2 linked regions of the Stegostoma tigrinum genome follow. The protein of the gene in region 1 interacts with the protein of each later gene in a pairwise test. Links are inferred from orthologs where the notes say so. Each region holds a gene or a part of one and is shown in the gene's direction. Other genes may lie near its edges.

The links. The genes of interacting proteins can lie anywhere in the genome.
Region 2: the proteins of chn1 (region 1) and hemk1 interact in binary tests that used the Homo sapiens proteins (3 or more experiments, as listed by UniProt). The two-hybrid records come from large-scale screens. The link is inferred for Stegostoma tigrinum from reciprocal best matches to the Homo sapiens genes CHN1 and HEMK1.

What each region holds. Positions count from the first base shown.
Region 1 is NC_081360.1:47,220,134-47,227,690, forward strand, and holds the start of chn1 (N-chimaerin), read left to right. Parts: upstream 1-4,550; 5' UTR 4,551-4,627; exon of another isoform or gene 4,628-4,724; intron 4,725-4,906; 5' UTR 4,907-5,015; coding exon 5,016-5,034; intron 5,035-7,557. UniProt on the Homo sapiens protein: GTPase-activating protein for p21-rac and a phorbol ester receptor. Involved in the assembly of neuronal locomotor circuits as a direct effector of EPHA4 in axon guidance.
Region 2 is NC_081364.1:10,136,078-10,143,769, reverse strand, and holds the start of hemk1 (MTRF1L release factor glutamine methyltransferase), read left to right. Parts: upstream 1-4,682; 5' UTR 4,683-4,783; intron 4,784-7,692. UniProt on the Homo sapiens protein: N5-glutamine methyltransferase responsible for the methylation of the glutamine residue in the universally conserved GGQ motif of the mitochondrial translation release factors MTRF1, MTRF1L, MRPL58/ICT1 and MTRFR.

The sequences.
Region 1 (7,557 bases):
TGTCGGGTAGTGGGCATAGGGTGACGGTGGTCCCTGCACCCACTATCCCCACGCACGTGCCCCCCCCCCCCCCCCCCCCCAAACTGTAGCGCAAATTCTGTCCCCTCCACATTTCACTTCCGCTCTTATGCACAGTCGTCTAGACTCAAAATTGTTAACTTGCTCTGCCCCTCTCCATGAATGCTTAATGATCTGCCGTGATTGCCAGTATTTGTTGTTTTCAGTTGAGAGTCCAGCATCTGCAGTAACACGCTCCTATGTTTTGGATAGACTAACTTATTGATTAACAAAGGCATCAAGGGGCTTGCAGAATAACCAGGGAAGTGGTTGATGCCACTGTTATTTTAGCCATGATCTTGTAGCATGGTGGAGCAGGTTCAAAGAGCAAATGGCCTACTTCCCCTTGTGTACATAATATCCAATGTGTCACATTTGAATCTGTTTTGTATATTACATCGGTCAAGATTTCCCCACTTGCTTAACCTATCTACATTCCTCTGTACACCCTCTGTCATACCCCCCCCATGCATTTTTAATGTAATCCGAAAACCTGGCTTGAGAACTTCATTCCTTTATCTAAGTTATTCATATATATTGTAAATAACTGGGCCCCAGCACTGATCTCTGTGCTGCTAGTTAGGAGTTGCCATCCTGAAAATGATGCTGTTTTCCCAACCCTTCTATTAGATGGTCAATCCTATATTCATTTTAATATACTTCAACAACATGAGTTCCAATCAGAGCTTAGTAATAGATGATGATGAGTCTAGTCAAGCAGTCTGAAGAATAGTTTAGATCCAGAAACTGAGAATATGAAGGATACAGTTGATGCAGCTTTTTCTGTTTACATGCACATAAACTTGATAGATTTGAGCCTTCCATAACATTTGCAGTAGATTTGAAGAGATTATGCAGAAATGTGCATTCTTGCTGACAACTGAGCATGGAACTCAGATCAGGTTCTGCTGATTTGAGGATCAGGCTAAATCCTAGAAGTAGAGCAGTTGAAATTATTTTGAGGAGGACAGAACTTTGAGGGATTTTGTGATTTGAGGTTGATGACCTATAGGCTATAAGGTGTGATCTAATAGCTAATATTGTTTCTGGGTTTAAAAATATAAATAGTATTTGCCTTGACTCTTGTACAGTGAAAAATTATTTTGACTTGAGCTGTGGAATTTTCTGGCTTCATTTATTCAATAAAATGAGTAGGATTTTTGATCTTCTTTTAGAGAAAAGATCACGAAAACATTACATCTTAGGGATTCAGTAGTGAGGAAAATTACAATTTGCATTCAAAGAAGCAGTAAAATCCATAATTTTTTTTTACACAAAGGGTTTTGGGAGCAAAGTTACTGGTGTTTTTTTTTTTGCTTTCGTGGAACCAAAGAACAAGGCCTGCAGGTATACTTGTGGTTTGGGCAGATAGCATGGAGAAAATAGATGCCTTGCCATATCCCCTGCCAATATAATGAAACAAAAGATTAGTATGGAGGGACACAAATCACTATATAAACACAATTGTAAGTATGTATATAAAATTCATTATGGGTTAAGATAGAATTTTTATAACCAGTCTTACGAGTGCTGAATACAGCTATTTCACAAATGCAACCACTATTTTAGAAGTCTAAGGTAATGTATTTGGGGAAGGCTAATAAAGCGAGAACATGTACAATAAAAGACAGGATATTGATAATTATAGAGGAATAGTGGGAGCTTGGAAAGCATAACCAGACTCTTGAAAGTGGCTAATCAGGTACATAAGGCGGTCAAGAAGGCGCATGGAACACTTGCATTTAAAAGCCAAAACACAATAGACAAAAACCTGGTCTGGAGAATTTTGGTAGTGAGTAAAGATGATAAAGTCAAAGGATTACATAGAGGCTATATTGAGAGATGAGGTTTTGAGGTACAATTAAAAGGGTAAAATAAAGAATAAATGCTGAAAATAAGTAATATGTTGGGCAGCATTTAGAAGATAGAACATTACAGCACAGTGAGGGTCGAAGGGTCTGTAATGTTGTGCCCACCTGTCATACCAATTGAAGCCCATCTACCCTACGCTTTTACATGTACATCTATATGCTTATCCAATGACTACTTAAATGTACCTAAAGTTGGTGAATCTACTACCGTTGCAGGCAAAGCGTTCCATTCCCTGACTGAGTAAAGAAACTACCTCTGACATCTGTCCTATATCTTTCACCCCTCAATTTAAAGCTATGCTCGCCATCACTATTCTAGGAAAAAGGGTCTCCCTATCCACCCTATCTAACCCTCTGATTATTTTATACGTCTCAATTAATTCACCTCTCAACCTTCTTCTCTAACGAAAACAGCCTCAAGTCCCTCCCTCAGCCTTTCATTGTAAGGCCTTCCCTCCAGACCAGGCAACATCCTAGTAAATCTCCTCTGCACCCTTTCCAAAGCTTCCACATCCTTCTTATAATGCGGTGACCAGAACTGTACGCAATACTCCAAGTGCGGCCGCACCAGGGTTTTGCACAGCTGCAGCATAATGTCTTGGTTCCGGAACTCGATCCCTCTATTAACAAAAGCGAAAACACTGTATGCCACCTTAACAACCCTGTCAACCTGGGTGGCAACTTTCAAGGATCCATGTACATGGACGCCGAGATCTCTCTGCTCATCTATACTACCAAGAATCCTACCATTAGCCCAGTACTTTGCCTTCAGGTTACTCCTACCACAGTGCATCACCTCACACTTGTCTGCATTAAATACCATTTGCCACCTCTCAGCCCAGCTCTGCAGCTTATCTATGTCTCTCTGCAACCTACAGCATCCTTCGTCACTATCCACAACTCCACCGACCTTAGTGTCGTCCGCAAATTTACTAACCCATCCTTCTATGCCCTCATCCAGGTCATTTATAAAAATGACAAACAGCAGTGGACCCAACACCGACCCTTGTGATACACCACGAGTAGCTGGTCTACAGGATGAACGTTTCCCATCAACTACCACCCTCTGTCTTCTTTCAGCCAGCCAATTTCCAATCCAAACTGCTGTATCTCCCACAATCCCATTTGTGGAATCTCATTAGCTGTAATGCAACTAACGGCATTCGGTGACTGTGAAAAGCACCAGATAAATTCAATACTATTTTACTTCTTTCAAGACAACTTTAACCAGTATCCTCTACTTCATAATTCAAATTCTTTCTTCCATCAAGAAAAGGCATACAGAGTTTCACTCTTACGAAAATCCTTTAGACAAGGATTACCAATAAATGAAAATGATTTTTCAATGTTATTCATACAAATTAAAATTGCAGATGAGGTTTCTGGAAATTTCACATTATATGCTTTTCAATTTTTCCAGTCCTAATTTTATCACTTGTTTTGTTTTCAAAAGCAGTATCAGGGAAACTATAATTTCACCCTTTTGTGTGCCAATGGTACTTGGCATTACTGCCTCACTCTTGTGTTTGATTTTACAACTATTCCATCACTGTCTGATCTACAGTTTGACATCTAATTGCAGAAAATGAAGTGTTTTTGAAGTCAGTTGAAGACCAAAGTCATTCTACTAGCCATCCAGCAAAATTTCTCCAGTTTACTGCTTGATTACAACTCCTTTCTCAATCCCAACCTCGCACTGCCCATTTTGCTAGTTGCTGAATTTTACTTCAAGTTTCATCGAGACCAATTGCTACTATCTGGAAAATATCAATTCTGTTCCCCTCAACAATGAAATGGTTGTTTATGTCTAAACTGAATTCAGAATTTACACTTCTAAACCTTTTCTTACCATCGCGTTGCTCCACCGAACCCAAACTTCAAATGGCCCAGAACGTTATTGACATTCAGTTCTCTACGCTTCGAGTGAATCATAACCTTGATCGCAATATACCCCCCATTCCTCTGTGCCCAGCGCAAAATCTTCCAATTTGTGTATAAATTCATATCTGGTCTCATTTCTCCTCACCTCTGCACCCTCCTTTAAGCTCTAAATTCAGTTCTCAATATGCAGGTTATTCCTTATTGCATTTTACCATCACCAGCGGCATTACCTCCACCCAGTGAACGTACTTGCACAAGTTGGAATGGATTCAGTTGCATTCGATTTCGAATAAAAGCCTTTCCTCGTAAAAGATCATTGGTGGTATATTCTGAGGGTGGAGATTTAGCAAAGTGGGGACCAGAAAACCTGTCACCCTATTAGTGTCTGAATTCTCATCAAGGCTGTGATTGGATACAATGTTTTTAAAAGGTTCTTTTCTATACAAAGATGAGTAGCAGTAACAACTCGTTTGACTCTTGAGAAATTAGGATGTTGCTTTCATCCAGGGGCGGCGGCTTGAAGAGCGGGACAGGCGCGTTTATCATCTTTCCACGCGTGTTCCACACTAATAAAGAGACACGCATCTGCAATCCTGAAAATGAGTGCCTTTGCGGCACAGCATGTTGATTAGTCTCAATTGTTATGTTGGTGGCCTGTCTGTGAGAGCGTTGCCGATGTTGACACAGTAGTGATGGCTGCCATGCGGGATGGCTGGATGTTGGTGCGTGCTGAGCTCGGTGAGCTCCCGAGGAGACCGGTCACCATGGTTACCGCATTGACGGGCTGCACCAGTCGGGAGCGATGGTCATGTGCTGAGGTAAAATGGCGTCTCGGAGGATGTAGGGTGGTCTGGAATATTTGTAATTTCACAGTATTCATTCTGTCTGTGGTTCACGGTTCGTGGCTGATTTATGGTATTTGTTTTCTTTATTAGTTTTAATTTTAGAAAACGGGCTGGGATAAAAACCTGTAGCATTTCTTGTTTTATTCGTATGGACTGTCCTTTATTTGGAATAAAAGGTATTTTTACTTAACAAGTTAGGAGGTGGTGTCTTAAATGTGTAATTAATGGTTCATTTATTTTTCCTATGTATAGCAGAAGGGTTGAAAGTGTCCTAAATCGTCTATGAGCTTGGTGGCTGACTGGGTGTGAAATAGTGGCTGGGCATTATAGCAGTCCGCAAAGGACCGGATTTCCAGAAATAATGGCTTTACCTGTGTTTGGTAAGTTGCACCGACGTAATTTAATACAAAGCAATTTGATGCTCTCAGTACCTTGTTGAAGAGGAATCTGTTAGAGCTGCACTGCGGAGTGATTGTTTTATTTTATGATTGGGAATTGCGAGAGTTCGGTGTGGACAGAAGTCTGGTTATTGTGTTTGTTGCTCTTGGTGAAGGGCGGATGCTTCAAAATACGATATGCCACCAAATTTTATTAAGAGTTAAACCAAAGTTTGTTTTGCTTTGCTTATGTAAATATTATATTCAGAGAACAGTTTTGCTTCATAAACAGTCCTTTTAGTGGAAATCAACATTAATCCTGAACTGGATTATTTTGCAGGAGTAAAATCATCTATTTTAATCTGTACAAAATAAGATAATGGTACAAAGTATATAGGCATTGTTGGTTACAATAAAACTGAACTGTTATAAATATTGATAATGTGGTTAAAATGTACTTATTATTTGTAAAACAGTGGTAGAGTTTGATTTGCGAGAGGAAGAGGATACGGATTATTTGTATTAATTCATTGAGCAGATGTTGATTCTACAGATTTGGCAAATAACTAAAAATACATCAGGTTGAGTTATCCTGTGACCTGTGTTAGAACATAGAATATAGAACAATGCAGTGCAGAACAGGCCCTTCGGCCCTCAATGTTGCGCCAACCTGTAAACTAATCTAAGCCCACTCCCCCTACGTGATCCCATCATCATCCATATGCTTATCCAATGACTGTTTAAATGCCCCTAATGTGGCTGAATTAACTACATTGGCAGGCAGGGCATTCCATGCCCTTACCACTCTGAGTAAAGAACCTGCCCCTGACATCTGTCTTAAATCTATCACCCCTCAATTTGCAGCTATGCCCCCTCCTACAAGCCGACGTCATCATCCTCGGAAAAAGACTCTCACTGTCCACTCTATCTAATCCTCTGATCATCTTGTATGTCTCTATTAAATCTCCTCTAAACCTACTTCTGTCCAATGAGAACAGACCCAAGTCCCTCACCGTTTCCTCATAAGAGCTTCGCTCCAGACCAGGCAACATCCTGGTAAATCTCCTCTGCAACTTTTCCAATGCTTCCACATCCTTCCTGTAATGGGGCGACCAGAACTGCGCGCAATATTCCAAGTGAGGCCGCACTAACATTTTGTACAGTTGCAGCATGACATCACGGCTCCAGAACTCAATCCCTCTACCAATAAAACCCAGCTCCGTTTGCCTTCTTAACAGCACTATCAACCTGGGCGGCAACTTTCAGGGCTCTATGTACATGGACACCAAGATCCCTCTGCACATCCACACTACCAAGAATCTTTCCAATGACCCAGTATTCTGCCTTACTATTATTCTTCCCAAAGTGAATCACCTCATATTTATCCCCATTGAACTCCATTTGCAACCTTTCAGCCCAATTCTGCAGTTTATCCAAGTCTCCCTGCAACCTGCAACATTCTTCCACACTGTCCACCACTCCACCGACTTTAGTGTCATCTGCAAACTTACTATTCCATCCACCTATGCCCGCGTCCAAGTCATTTATAAGAATGACAAAACAGCAGTGGCCCCAAAACTGATCCTTGAGGCACACCACTTGTAACCAGACCCCAGGCTGTATATTTTCCATCAACCACCACTCGATGCCTTCTAACAGAAAACCAGTTTCTAATCCAAACTGCTAAATCTCCCTCAATCCCATGCCTCTGCGTTCTCTCCAATAGCCTACCATGTGGAACCTTGCCAAAGGCTTTACTGAAACCCATGTACACCACATCAACTGCCCTACCCTCATCCACATGCTTGGTCACCTTCTCAAAACTCAGTGAGGTTTGTGAGACATGACCTGCCTTTGACGAATCCATGTTGACTATTCCAATCAAATTGTTGCTAGCTAGATGATTATAAATCCTATCCCTCATAATCCTTTCCAAAACTTTTCCTACAACAGACGTAAGGCTCACTGGTCTATAATTACCTGGTCATCTCTACTGCCCTTCTTGAACAAGGGCACAAGATTTGCAATCCTCCAGTCCTCTGGTGCTAAACCTGTAGACAATGTGGACTCAAAGATCAAGGCCAAAGGCTCCGCCGCCACCTCCCTAGCTTCCCAGACAATCCTCAGAAAAATCCCATCCAGCCCGGTGGATTTATCTACCTTCACACCTAGAATTGATAACACCTCCTCCTTACTAACCTCAATCCTTTCAATTCTAATAACCCATAACTCAGTCTTCTCCTCTACAATATTCTCCTTTTCTTGAGTGAAAACAGATGAGTTAGTTTATACTTGTAAGATTGGCATGAACATAAATGTGAAGATAGTGACTCTTAGATTTTAAATCAGTTACTTGGTGAACACTGATTTTTTTTCGTCTCTTTTTATTCTTTTATGGAATTTAGACTTTAGTGGTAAGGCCAGCATTTATTGGCTATTTCTAATTACTCTTGAACTATGTGGCTTGCTAGGCTACTTGCTGGGTAATTAAGAGTCAACAGTATTGTGTGTAGGGAATCCCATTTC
Region 2 (7,692 bases), on another chromosome or scaffold:
GCCAAATTCTGCTGTAATTTCTATCTGGCAGCTCTGACTGGGGAAGGGCAGCAATTTTAACTGTGTTACTATTTTCACAGATGACCCTCCCCTCCCCTATTGTCTTCCGCACCCATTTTCCATCCTCAAGCAATGCAAACAAAAATTAGAATTTTTGTTTAAAACAATGGAGATTCCACTTTTTTTCAATGTTTACTCACAAATGTGGGAACCACTTGCTATCTAGGTTTATCACACATCTCTAATTGTCCAGACTGCAGTTAAGAGTCAATCACATCACTGTGGAGTAAGAGTCACATGTTGGCCATGACAAGTTAGGGAAGCAGGTTCCTTCCCTGAAGGGCAGCCATAATACAGGCAGGTTTCCCACAACTATCACCAATGGTTTCATGTTTATCATTAGATTATTAATTCCAGTTTTTTTTTCAATTGAATTCAAATTCCACCATCTATCATTGCAGGACTTGAACTCATGTCCTCAGAACATTACCTGTGCTTCTGTGAAAATAGCCTGGGGATAACACCACCAGGGCTTTGCCTCCCCATCATCTTTTGTGGCCTGCCCACTCTATGACATAGGAACATAGGAGCAAGAGTAGGCTATTCAGGCCATCAAGCGAACTCCACCATTCAACTAGATCATGGCTGATCTCCTGCCTCAATGACATTTTTACACACTACCCTCATAAGTCAGCACAGTGGTCAGCTCTGCTGCTTCACAGAGAGAGGAGCCTGGGTTCATTTCCACTCTTGGGCAGCTGTCTGTGTGGAGTTTGCACACTTTCCCTGTGTCTACGTGGGTTTCCTCCGGATGCTCTGGTTTCCTCCCACAGTCCAAAGATGTGCAAATTAGATGGATTGGCTACGCAAAATTGCCCATAGAGTCCAGGGTTGTGCAGGCTAGGTGGATTAATTATGGGAAATGCAGGGTTACGGCGACAGGGTGAGGTGGTCTTCGGAGGGTTGGTGTCGACATGATGGCCCAAATGGCCCGCATCCACATTGTAGGGATTCTATGATTCTATCCCTTTCTGTCTCTAATATGGCAACAGACTGGTGTACTGTCCACAGATGCCAAGCACCAACCAGTACACATTGCTCACATGGGCACTCCACAAGCCAGACTAGCGAAAAAAAAGGAAATTCATCGACAGAACGCATTACAGTCAAATGGATCTTGACAATACACACGTGACATATAATGGGGGTTGTAGGGTAGAGGTGTTGATTGCTGATCACCTGCACAATTAGGCTGTGCACATCCATGTTTTCCAGGGAGAGAGGGCCAATGCCCAGGCAAACAGCATCCCCATAAGCAGCCCTGGTTCACAAAACCCGTCCGTAAATTACACTCGCTTTTAATGTCCTATATTGGAGTACACCTCATGCAACAGTGAGATACAGGAGAAAGATGGTGGACACTACCTAGCCACCTTCACTGAGTTTTGTGATCACAGCTAACCCAAATTAAACTAATTCTTTTAGTTTAATGAATTTGTTAAGAAGCAGGAGTTTAGATATGTTACATGCGTTAATTAGACAAAGAAAGGAAATGACCGTGACAGAAATAATGGGAACTGCAGGTGCTGGAGAATCCAAGATAACAAAGTGTGAGGCTGGATGAACACAGCAGGCCAAGCAGCATCTCAGGAGCACAAAGGCTGACGTTTCAGGCCTAGACCCTTCATCAGAGAGCTCTGACGAAGGGTCTAGGCCTGAAACGTCAGCATTTTAGCTCCTGAGATGCTGCTTGGCCTGCTGTGTTCATCCAGCTTCACACTTTGTTATCTTAAATGACCGTGGCTGATGAGATTGCTCATCAATGCAAGATGATACCAACACCGGATGAAATCTTGCGAGCTCCCGACAGCAGATCTAACTGTAACATTTGTTATAACCATTTTACACTTTTAAATGTGACAATAAAGCAATCATTCAATGAATCAATCCCAAAGCTGTATTGTAGAATGAAACAGCAAGAAAGGATGAAGTCATGCACTTTAGTAGGAAGAATAGAGTTGTGGACTATTTTCTAAACGGGGAAAAAATTTAGAAATCTAAAGTGCAAAGGGACAGCATTTTCTATTTCTAATGATCCGGACGCAAAGCATTAACTCTGATTTTTCTTCACAGATGCTGCCAGGCCTGCTGAGCTTTTCCAGGAACTTCTATTTTTGTTCCCAATGGCACTGTGTTTGTTCTCATTCCATTAATCATTCTGTTTTCCTAAGTTGAGCCAAAATAGACTAAGCTGTGAGGCCAGTGTCTGGTGACCATTCCTCAAAAGGGTCTGAAGAAGGATCACCAGACCCGAAAAGTTAACTCTGTTTTCTCCCTCACAGATGCTGCCAGACCTGCTGAGCTTTTCCAGCAACTTTGCTTTTGTTCCTGTTTTACAGCATCCACAGTTCTTTTGTTATTTTTATAGTCCAACAGGTTTATTCGAAAATGCAAGCTTCCATTTTCAAATAAATGTGTTGGACTATAACCTGGTGTCATATGAGTTTTGACCTTGTCCACCTCAGTCCAACACTGGCATTTCAACATCATATTTGATAGTTACATGGTGCAAGTTAGAGCCATGATGAATATGTTGACTAATCTTTCTGAAATTTAAACATTTTACTAAAAGATTGGTTTCTAGGGACAGGAGCATTGTTCCATAAATTGCACCAGATTGTGATGAGCTGTATTCCAGCTTTGGGTTCTTTAAAAGCCTCAAAGTTTCACTGTTGTAAATAGCCACTGCCTGAGATCAGCTGCAAGCTAATAGTGTTTCAGCTGATCCAGTGAAAAATCAAATTGTATTTTTTTTTATTATGAATCAAGTTTCTTTGCAGACTTTGTGAAAATTGCCAACTTCACATTGCAGGAAAATTTCAGAAGGAATTTTCTCTTAAAAGGTGTATGAACAAAGGCATTGGTTTGTGGTGTTGTTGACAAACACATTTGAAAGCATCATTACACGCATTAAAAATTGATATGGGCACCTGTAGAAAACTCTCCAAATGGTATCTGGTGACATATAAACATTTATCACTTTTTGGGACTGTACTTTCAAAACTAAAATATAGAACATTTTACAAATGAGGGGGTCTTCAAAGAAAGAGATGAGGAGAAATGTTCACTACCAGTTGGCCTACTGGGCTCGTGGACTTATCTAAGTTGGCTCAACTTAGCAGAACATAACGGTTAACAGAATGACAGCTGTCAGTGTGTGAAGTTTCGTTCCCAGTAGAGACAGGGTCATTGAAATTTTTTAAGGCTGAGTTAGATAGATTCTGGTTAACAAGTGAGTCAAAGGGTAAACGGGGTTGACAGTAGAGTTGAGGACATAATGAGAACAGTTACGATTATATCAAATGGCAGAGCAGTCCACAAGTGTCTGCTCCTAATTTGATCATATGTGGTGTGAAGGTATTGGTAATGTCACTCGACAAATAATCCAGAGGCCCAAGCTAACACTCTGAGAACACAGGTTCAACCCTGCCTTGGAATTGGAATTCAATTAATAAATCCTGAAAACAAAGCTAGCCATCTGTAACAGTGACCAGGAAACCATTATCGATTGTCTTAAAAACCCAGGGCTCAATAATGCCCTTTACGAAGGAAAATAGCTGCCTTATGCAGACTGGCCAATGTGGTTGCTCTTATCTGCCCTTTCCACTGAGGTGAAGATTCAATTTGAGATGAGCAAGAAATGACGCACACATTCCACAAAAGAATAAAGAAAAAAACTGCTTGTAAACATGTCATGTTATACTTAACCCTTCCTGTGAGCTCTTGACCATCTCTTCGCACTGAGACTGTTTAATTCCACCTCTGTAACACCAACTGAGCCACAGATCTGATGCTGAAATCCTCATTCTTCCTGTTAACTCTAGGAATGACCAATCAAAACGCGCTTCTACCCAGTCCTCCACATTCTGCTAACTTTAACTCATTGGAAACTCTCTCCACCTATCTTCTTTACTCTCCATCTTCGGTCCGCCTCCCCCTCTCTCCCTATTTATTCCAGTTCCCTCACCCCATCCCCCTCTCTGATGAAGGGTCTAGGGCCGAAACGTCAGCTTTTGTGCTCCTGAGATGCTGCTTGGCCTGCTGTGTTCATTCAGCCTCACATTTTATTATCTTCTCATTGGAAACTCGGTCACCCTAACTAGCACCAGGCCCTGCCTCCCTAACACCCAGAGACTGCCAAACGACATCAGCTCCTTGGCAAAAACATCGACTGGACGCACAACTGTCCGCAAAGGCACAGGTGCATCCGGGGCCGAGGCGGCAGGGGCGGGGCTGGGCCGTGGAGGAGGGGGCGCATCGAGGTGGTGGAGGCGGAGCCGTGGTGGAAGGGGCGGGGCCGGTCAGGGGAGGCGGGGCCTGATCGAGGCTGGGGTACGGGACAAGACAAGGTGGCGGGAGCGAGCAAGGCGAAGGGCCCCGAGGAAAATGGAGACGGGACATTAGTTCGGGGGGGGGCACATGGACGGGGTGTGGTGTAGAATGAAGGGTCCGGGATTGAAATAAGGAAGCGGAGCAAAGGTGGTGAGGATTCGACGGGGCGAACGCCTGAGAGGTGGGCGTGGTGGCATGCAGAAGTGGGCGGGGTGGAGTTGTGCGAGGGACGTAGTAGAGAGTGGGCCGCTGTGGGGAGTGGGGCGGGGTCATTTGGGGTTATGGGCGTGGCCATAGTGAGGGCGGGGCAGCGGTGGTGGCGGGAGGTCCCAACCGCCGTTTGCCGGCCTGGCCGCCGCCGCCACGTTGTTACTTGGTGTTCGTGATGAAGGTAAAGGTGGGATTCTAGAATTGTCTTTTTCCCTTAATAACTTTCACTTTCTACCTCTTTATTTTCCGTATGCTTTGCTTGCCGTCTCCTTCTCCTCGTCAACTGTCACTTCCGCTTTTCATTAAGCTGAAATAACTCCACAGAGGCCAGTACTCCATCGCCAAGTCACCCGTTACACTTACACGTGGACATTTCTTGGCACTGATCCAGTACCTGCAAAGAGAGTAGAAAGTCTCACATTTCTGTTTAGCCAAGGCTCCCTGATCGGACTAGGTTAACACCCCAACCAGGAAACTCATATTTTCTGAGGTGCTAAAGCAGAAGTTGTTGGTAAAGCTCAGCAGCAACTGTGACGACAAAAACAGAGTTAATGTTTTGGGTCTCGTGACCCTTCCTCAGAACTTCAGATTTTGCCTTCGCCTTCACAGATGTTGCCATGCTTGTTGAGCTTTTCCAGCAACTTCTGTTTTTATTCCTGATTTGCAGCATCCACAGTTAATTTGATTTTTCTCTGAGGTTCTGTTGGTTGTCAGTTTGGTAATCATCACATTCCTCCCCCTCTGAATCTGAAGACAACAGTTAGCTGAATTCCATCAGGGTCATCCAGAAGTTTCCAAAATAAAGACGTTGGCAAGAACTCTAGTGGCCAGGATTAGATGCAGACGTACATGCGTTTGCGGTGCCAGGAGTGGTTAGGACAAAAATTACCAACAGATGGCCAGGTAAAGCCTCGACTTTGTAATATGTCAACTATGCAGGTTCTTCCATGGGCTCAATGTTCATAGCCATTGTGGATGCCCACACAAAGCCACTGGAGACACACAGGAGTTAATTTGTCAAACCTGATGATGATTGAAAAACTGTGCACATTGTTTGCAATACATGGACTCCCAGAAGTATTGATCACGGATACCGGGCCATCGTTTACCAGCAGGAAATTTGTGTATTTCCTCAAGTCGAATAGCATTTTACAGCTCCATATCATCCATCATCCAATGGTCTGGCAGAAACAGCAGTCCAAATTGTGAAGACAGACTTAAAGCACAGCCTACAGCTTCACTAGATGCCACACTGACCTGGTTCTTATTTGATTATAGGATCACACCTCATGCAACTACAGGGAAAGTTCCGGCAAAGTTTCTAATAGGGAGAAGACTCCACACTAGGTTAAATCCGATCTTCCCAGACCTGGGGGGACGGTGAGAGTGAAACAGCAACAGGAACATAGGTCATAAGACACAGCTACAGGAGTAAGTCATTCAACCCTTGAGATTGAATTGAATTTGCTTTGCCATTCAGTAATATCTTGCTTGCTGTGTAATCCCTGTAATCCTTCACTCTCTTCTATATAATAAATTCAAAAAGATTCAAAGACTAGCTTTGCTGGGGAAGAAAATTCCAGTGAATAAATTCCTTCTCATCTCTGTTTTAAATGGGAAGCCCTTATTTTTAAACTATGCCCTGCAGTTCTGATCACAAGGCTCTGCTAAGCCAGTGAGACAGTTTACTTCAGGAGTCAAATTTTGGTTAGGAATCACAGGAACAGCCATGCATGGGTAAGAGGCATTGTCAGTGTGAGGTCAGAACCAGTGGCATGTAAAGATCAGGTAGGTGCAACAGCCCTGATCAGGCAAGTAAAACATAGGAATGTTGCAAACTCAGTGCAGGAGCAAAATGTGCCAGGCTCCTTGATTGCCTTTCCATGGGATCTCTAGCTTTATGGAGATTTGAAGATATCTTGGAATCTGAGATGGATATGGTGGATGCCCCTGCCTTGAAGACTTGATGCCTGAAGAAGAGAATGAATTTCTTTTGAGATGCTCTGGGTGCAAGAGGTGAGCTACTGTGCCTTATGTGCTGCTCATATCAAAGGAAGAATTAGCGGAGTCGTACCTGGTGCTAAAATGTGCCAGGAGGAACTACAAAAAGAAGAACTGATAAAGTCCTTGGATTCAGAAGGGGAAAGGTGTAGTGATTGTAAGAAGGTGAGCCAGTTAGACCTCATAGAATATAAGTTCCCTGATTGGGGCTGTTAAATCTGGCCCAATCAGATGGCCAGCTGACAGATATAAATAGGAAAATCAAAGGTTCTGTTCACTCTGAGAGCTGGCTCCAAGATGGTGTCAAGGCCTCTCTACATGCAAATTAAAGGATGACGTAGTGACAGGATACTGGCCTCCATGGTGTTATTTCAATCAGAACGTTCACAAATTAGATTGGATCCAATTGCCCCTCTACATCTAACTTGTTAGGTGTTAATTTTCCATAGCAGCAAGCAAGTACAAAATGAACTGATATTTTTTGGAGTCTCGGATATATTTGAGTTTAGCCTGATATAGGATTCAGAAATCTTTTGATTTTTTTTGTCACAAGAGAACATTCTGCAGCATGCTTGACTCCATTCTCAACGGAGGTGATATTTCAACCCTGTCTCTTGGTCTATTTGCCTATTAAAAAAAAAATCAGTGCAGGGAGAATTGATTTTAATTTGAAGAATACTGTAAGTTGTCTTATTTGGAAAGTTGTGGATTGTCTCAGCTGCTGTAGTAAATATTGTATCAAGTGTCAAAACGTGAGCAGAGCCTTTAGAGCAGGTTTTCATATAACTCCAATTTACCAATCACAAAGTGGCACTCGCCGAGGCCAGGAGTAGTCACTGTCAAAGTGAGATATTGTGTGGAATTAGGAGTCTTTGAGAGAAGAATGGTGGTGTTAATTTAACAAAAAAAAAGTTGGATATGTTGAGTTATGGTAAAGCAAGAAATATCGTAATTTGAAGTACCTTAAAATCACTATGACAAGTGCTAAATTATATAAGTGGCTGTCTCACTTTTTTAACATGCATTAGTTACATCAATTAACTTCTAGTGTACTGCACAGAACAGGGAAGCAGCTGCTTTTTAAGACCA